Sus scrofa: one gene and its partner. Each later gene encodes a partner of the first gene's protein in a complex. Links are inferred from orthologs where the notes say so. Each region holds a gene or a part of one and is shown on either strand. Other genes may lie near its edges. The genes, in order: TTF2 and AKAP17A.

Region 1 (3,610 bases):
CAAAGACAAACTGTGGACTGGATCGGGTCCATGGTATTTGCCCACCCTTGGTCTGGGATGTCGGCACCTCTGAACTTCACTTCTCTCCCAACAGGAATCCATCACTTGAAGATCAAGCTTCTGACCGAATTTACCGGGTGGGGCAGCAGAAGGATGTTGTCATACACAGGTGAGTAAGTTACGGTCATCGAGAACCAAGTGCTGCTGCGTGAAAATCTGCTTTGGGTCATATTTTCCCAGTATCTAAAATATTTGATGGTCACCTTAGCAACAGCACCCATGGGTCCCATCCTCCTTGGTTCTCAGTCAGGGAGGGAACACAGGCAGTTTGGGGGTAACCTTGGAGTTGGTCCCTGCAGAAGAAGAGAAGCTTATGTACAGGGCGAGCCTCGTCTCAGTCAAGGCAGCCCACGAAATGACTCTTCTCTCCCTCTCGCTCTCCCCCTCTCTTTTTTTGCTTAACTTTTATTTTGACGTAATGTCAGACATATAGAAAAGAATGTAAGAATTATTACAAGAATACTGCACAGTTCTTGAATGCAAGAATAATACAAAAAATTCTTGTACACTGTGACACATGTGTGTGTGTGTGTGAGTGAGCTTTTTTCTGGACCATTTGACAGTGAGTTGCAGACCTGATGCTTCTTTCCTTCTAATTGCTAGAACAGGCATTTCCCTGACAATGACATTTTCTTACATAACCATGAGAACATGACCAACACCAAGATGCTAACAATGACACAGTACTGTTATCTGATCTGTGGATCTTATGCAGCTTTGCCACTTGTCCAGGTGATGTCCTTTCCAGCAGAAGAATGCTCTAGGTCCTGTGTAGCATTCAGTTGTGTTGACTCTTTTGTCCCCTTTAATCTGCAGCGGTATCTCAGACTCTCTTTGTGTTTTAGGATAGTGACATTTTTAAAGTGCACAGGCCAGTTATTCTGGGGAATGTCCCTCTCCTTGGGCCCCTCCTGTCTTTAAAAACAATGACAACACTTCCCTTGACCATACAGTCCACCCTAGCCAGGGACTTTTTTCTCCCTTCCTTTTCGTTGCCAAGTTTCCTGAAGAGTTAGAAATCGTCGTCTGTCTTTTCTTGCTTATTTCCCATTCATTCCTCACCCTTTACAAACTGGCTTTCATCCCTGTTGCTCCGCGGAAGCTGCTCTTGCTGGGGGTGGGGTGGGGGGCATCCGTGAATTCCAAACTTTGCCAAGCAAGCAGTTATGTCAGTTGTTCCGTCTGTAGCTCTCAGCTCACTTTGTATGCACCTCTCTTAAGAATCCATCTACTGCAGTGAGTCCAAAATCTGTATTTTCCATTCTAAGGTCTCTTAAACTTCAGGCCTGCAAATCCACATCCCCATAAAGTATCTGAATCTGGGAGTTCCCATTGGCTCAGCGCTAACAAACCCAACTAGTATCCATAAGGACGTGGGTTTGATTCCTGGCCCTGCTCCGTGGGTTAAGGATCTAGCGTTGCCATGAACTGTGGCGTAGATCGAAGACGCAACTCAGATCTGGCGTTGCTGTGGCTGTGATGTAGGCCAACAGCTCCAGCTCCAATTCAACCCCTAGTCTGGGAACTTCCATATGCCACAGGTGCGGCCCGAAAAAGAAAAAAAGAAGCATAGGAGTTCCCATTGTGGCTCAGTGGTTAAGGACCCTGCCTAATCTCCTTGAGGATGTGGGTTTGACCCTGGCCTCACTCAGTAGGTTAAGGATCCAGTGTTGCCACAGACTGTGGCGTAGGTCACAGATGCACTTCGGATCCTACGTTTCTGTGGCTGTGGCGTAGGCCAGCAGCTGCAGCTCTGATTCCACCCCTTAGCCCGGGAACTTCCATATGCTGCAGGTGCAACCCTAAAAAGAAAAGATCCCAAGCATAGGTAGACATTTGAATATGTCATTAGATATTTAGCTTTGGGTTTTTGACTGTTGGCTTACGTGTCTGTTTTTCAGATTTGTTTGTGAAGGCACAGTGGAAGAGAAGATCTTGCAGCTCCAAGAAAAAAAGAAAGATTTGGCCAAACAGATCCTATCAGGATCTGGAGAATTTGTTACCAAGCTCACCTTGGCAGACCTCAAAATCCTTTTTGGCATCTAACTTCATGTTTCTGGGGCTCAGAATAGTGCTACTGTTGGTTTGTATTAGGGTCTGGGCATAACAACTAAGAAGCTTTGAGCTCTCCTTGGCATTTCACTTCACTGGCAACTTACCCTGTTAACCAGTTGGGCTTCAACTTATTAACGCATCAACTTATTTAATGAGTGACATAGAAACCAATAAATTACTTCAGATAAAATGCTTTAGGGTTAGATAATTTGGAAAACAACTCTGGGAGAGTGGTACAGCACAGAGAGCCCTCTGTCGCCTCCCTCTTCCCAGCTGATGCGGGAGCCAGTGTTCCTGCCTTTTTCTAACACAAGCTCCATCCCATCTCCATCTCTCCTGCCAACAAGTCTGCTCCAACCATTGCTACGGGCTGAGCCGAAGTGGATCCCTGTGGCCATTCCTCTGTAGTAGTTTCCGTCTAGGCAGTTCCTCCTCTCAGGCCTAAGGTCAAGGAGGCGCTTGGTACATGATATATAGGTCATTGGTATTTGTATCATCATATCATTTAGAATTTGCTCTCCTGTCATTATATCATCTTGTATCACTATCATATCATGTAACATTTATGTCATATAATTTCCCTTTGGTATCATTTTTATAGTATTTGTATTTTTACAGATTTACAGTTAATCTGTAGCACTTGGCATCATTACTTCATTTAGTGTTCTTGTATCATTTAGCATTTGTATTGTCATTGGCATAATCCAGTAAACACGTGTAGCCAAGATAATGCTTCGTGTTCACTAACCTCCATTTCCCTTCCCTCCTGGCCACCAGAGCCCACATTTCCTAGTCTTCACTGCAGTTATCCAGGCCCATGTTACTGAGTTCTAAGGCAGTGGGATATGGAGAGAAGGGAAGTAAGTCACTTCTTATCTGCCATCTACAACTTTGCAACTGACTCACGTTGCCTCTTCTGTGGCCCACTCCATACGGAGGCCCTGGTGGAAGACGACAGGGCCCTAGAGAATTTGAAGCCACTAGATCAGAGATTCTTCACCTGCTGTTGGCCATGGACCTTTGGTAGACTGGTAAGCCTCAGTTCCTGAATGAGAGCAGATCAAAGCCTGCCCTTCTCAACCCTATTGGACTCTGACATGACCAAGAAAAATTTTTTTTTTTTTTGTAAACTATAAGATTTGGGAGTTGTTCATACAGCAGTTAGTATCCTGACTCATACAGACTCTTGAGACGCTCTTACTTGGGAAACTCTTCAGATTCCCTTCTTCCCATTAGCAGTCATGTCCAAAACCCTCCCTCTGCTGATTTCTACTAGGAAGAATAGTACTTCTTTCTAGATAGAACGATTGCCCTCCTTTGCATGAGGATTCGAAGACAAAAGCCCGTGCTGGCCCAGTCACAGTTGGGACTGAGGCACTGGGGTCTATTTAGACAAAGGTGCCCACTCGGGACAAGATCTAAAAGCCCACAAGGTCAAGACAGAGCGGCCTGGAAGGAAGGCCTCTGACTTCGTTCTTCTTAGCTGAGGGTGTAG
Region 2 (3,447 bases), on another chromosome or scaffold:
CGGGGGTACCTGGCGGAGCCCTAGCTGAAGCCGGAGTGGGAGGAGCCCCGGGGAGGGCGTCGCTCTGCGGGCCCCGCCCCTCCCAGCCTCCTAGCGGAGACTGGAGGAGACCTTCCGCTCGCAGAGACTGAGAGCATGCAGGACGCAGCAGATGCAGGAAGAGAGGGCGGAGGCTGCATGGGTCTCAGGTCCGCGGACGCGGCGCCGCTCCCTCCCGCCTCCAGGCTGTGCTGCAGCAGCCAGCGGGGGTGGGAGCCCCGCAGGAGCGCCGAGGAGGTACCTTGGCGCGGCTCAGCAGCTCCGCGATGAGCCGGATGGACTGCAGGTTGCGCTGGGCCAGCAGCAGCTTGCGCTCCTCCAGCCGGATCTTCTCCTGCAGCTTCCGCTGCTCCTCGGCCTGCAGCTTCTCCAGCTTCTTCTGGCTGCGCCGCAGCTCGCGGTCTCTCTGCTTCTGCTCACGCCGGCGCAGCTTCTCCTCCCGCTTCCGCTCCCGCTCCTGCTCCTCCAGCTCCTTCTGCTTCCTGTGCGGGACGCAGGCACCAGGGCCTCAGCGGAGCCGGCGGGGACGCCGCGGGAAAGACGACGTCGCAGCGTCTCACCCCCACGTCCAAGTCCAAGGACGTTAAGGAGCGCAGAGGCGCATGGGGGCGGGGCGGGGGCCATCGCCTTGCGGGGCAGAGTCTGGCTAAGTGCGAGCCCAGCCCGGACTCCATGGGGAGGGGGTACAAGACATTGGAAAATGCAGCTTGGAACAAGGCCCACCCCCGCTGGTGGGCCGCACCTGCACAGGACACGCTGCCTGCCCCACACAGCCCAGCCGCCCAGTGGAGTGGCTGCAGAGGACACAAACGAGTTTCAGGGGCGGGGGCGCCCCTGCCCCAGATGTTCCCACCGGGGACCGTGCCCACAGGAAGGCTCTGCCAGCACGGAGCCAATGGCACGACCCTGCCGCGGGATGCTGTAGAACAGGCAGACCACGGTAACAGACACCCGACCCGCTTTGCTGGGGCCCGTCCCTAAAGAAGGGGGAGCGGTCCTGACAGCAGGACAGCTCACACCACCTGGGGACACCCTGCGAGGTCACCACGGGCACTACCTGCAGGCAATGACTGTGCCACACGCTTACACACCACACACACCGGCTTGGACCCTACCATCCTTTCTGGGGGGGGGTCCCCCAGATGAGGATCGAAGGCCATCAGGATGGCTGGAGACCCCAGGGAAGGTGTGGAAGACCAAGGGGCGTCACACTGTACGCCTGCCTCCCGAGTGCTGGGGCTTTTGACTTCTCCAGGAACCTGCAGGGCGGGGTGGGGGCGGAGGGGCAGAGCCCCCGGCTGCTCAGGGCAGGATGCCACCTGGGGGAGCCCTCTGAGGCCATGGGGGCACACGGCTGCCAGGGGTGCTGGAGCCCCGGAACCAGCCAAGCCCCCACACAGAGGGAAAGGCCGGCCCAGGCTCACGTGGGAAGCAATGAGGGTGACAGCAGCCAGAAGGCCACATCTCTGATGGTCCCTGGCACCAGGGGTCCCCTAAGAGCCCCAGAGCGCCCACGGCTCTAAACTGTGGCTAAAGGCCAAGTCCAGGAGCCTGACTGCGGATCCAGACTGAGCCCGAACACCCAGCACCTCACCCGTGACAGAGGACAGACCCGGAGGCTCCCCAGGCCTGCCCGGCTCCGCCTCGCGGCCCTGCCACCTCTCGGCCAGTGTCATCCCAGGCGGCAGCAGAGGCCACGCCACCAGCTGTGAATCCGTGTCCTCAGCACACCTCGGGGACCCATCTGACCCTCTGTCCTCAAAGACCACTCTCGGCCCAATTCCCTGCCCTCGTTTCTCCACCAAGCTCGAGGGAAGTGTCTTTAACGGGACCTCAGAGCTGCTTCTGGAAACGCCGTGGGGCGTGTGGCGGGCTCACGACGCCGACAGCACAAACTGCCACAACCCGAACCTCGACGACGCCCTGATGAAGGAGACGGAAACGCCGAGGGGTAACGTCTGCGATTCCTGGCCTGCGATCAAGGGCCATCTTGGGGACGCGAGGACAAGGCCCGTTGGGGACCCGAGCTGGGGGGCCTGGACGTCCCTGAGCCTCGCCCAGGTCGAGATGCAAACAGCCCTGTGAGCGCCGCCGCCACCGCCGGAGGACAGCCACGCGGCACGCACACCCTCGGCTGGCCCCACGCCAGCCTCCCTGCGGGCTCCCGATCCCCGGCCGGAGCCTCCCCGGCCAGCAGGCCGACCCCCTGGGGACGTCCACCGGCTGCGTCAGGAGCAGCAGCACGGGCTGGACCCTGACCCTGGTTTCCCCACCAACTGCAAGGACACCTCGGCACCTGTTCCTGCCGGCGGGGAGAAGGGAAAACAAACAGGAAGCTGACAGCCCCGCGAGTGAAGTCGGCTCAGCCAAGAGGTAAGTGGAGAGGCTGATAGGGAAGGAATCGGCCACAAAAGTCCTAAATCGGCCAGACAGAAGCCCTGCCCGTGACACCTTGACACCCACCCACCCCCACCCCCACGCCAAGAAGCACCCAGGGCACAGCAGCCGTGACGGGACAAGGACGACTGTTCCTTATCTCCTGGAGCCCAGGGAGTCTCGCTGGGCAGACGTGTTTACAACCCAGATACACCGCCCGGCCAGGGAGACACGGGACCTGACGCTGCCTGTGAACCGCAGTCCCCCCGAAGGCCCTGAAAGACACTTGCTTCGAGCCCGCCCGTGCCGCAGGGCCTCTACTGCTCTTTGGGACGGCAGCTTCGGCCCAAACACAACCCCTGCAAAGCAGCCAAGGCTCTGCCAGTCTCTGCAGGAGCCCTGCTCAGCCCTGGGCGGCTCGGAGGGAGGCCGGGGCCAGGCAACCGGGCGGAGGCCGCCGCCCACGCAGAGGGGTCCGGCTCACCCGGCCAGCGCCTACCTCTCCTCGGCCCTCTGCCTCTCCTCCGCCTCCTTCTCCCGGCGCTTCTGCTCCTCCCGCTGCTGCTCCAGCTCCTGAAGTTTCTGCCGCTCCAGCTGCCGCTTCTTGATGGAGGCATCGCTCAGGTGTTTGGTGGAATCGAAAGAAACCTGTAGGGAAGGGCGCAGGGTGGAATGACCTGGAGGGCTCCTTCCGCACACGAGGTGGATGCCCCCTGACTCATTTCGGAGAGGGGGCTCCCGGGCCCCCCCGCACACACCTGAGTGAAGGTGCGCGTGGGCCTGACGCCCCAAGCTGAGCTCCTCCCAGACTCAGGCTGGGAACTCGGACGCCAAGGGCCTTCAGCAGGAGAAAAGAGCTAAGCGAGGGGGCCCACCAGCCCCCCGGCCACCTGCCGCCTCGCACACACCAGACCCCCCACTCCCCTGCGAGGCCAGCTGCCCTGTGGTCGCAAAGCCAGCACGAGTCAGTCCCCACTTGGCTGATGGTCAGAGAAGCCAGGGTCTCGTTTCAAGGGACGTCTGGGAGGGAGG

What was found.
Region 2: TTF2 (region 1) and AKAP17A share a complex: the UniProt entries of both Homo sapiens proteins name them as parts of the spliceosome. The link is inferred for Sus scrofa from reciprocal best matches to the Homo sapiens genes TTF2 and AKAP17A.

What each region holds. Positions count from the first base shown.
Region 1 is NC_010446.5:103,631,609-103,635,218, reverse strand, and holds the end of TTF2 (transcription termination factor 2), read left to right. Parts: intron 1-94; coding exon 95-169; intron 170-1,961; coding exon 1,962-2,106; 3' UTR 2,107-2,842; downstream 2,843-3,610. UniProt on the Homo sapiens protein: DsDNA-dependent ATPase which acts as a transcription termination factor by coupling ATP hydrolysis with removal of RNA polymerase II from the DNA template. May contribute to mitotic transcription repression. May also be involved in pre-mRNA splicing.
Region 2 is NW_018084901.1:899,014-902,460, reverse strand, and holds part of AKAP17A (A-kinase anchor protein 17A), read right to left. Parts: intron 3,064-3,447; coding exon 2,915-3,063; intron 522-2,914; coding exon 281-521; intron 1-280. UniProt on the Homo sapiens protein: Splice factor regulating alternative splice site selection for certain mRNA precursors. Mediates regulation of pre-mRNA splicing in a PKA-dependent manner.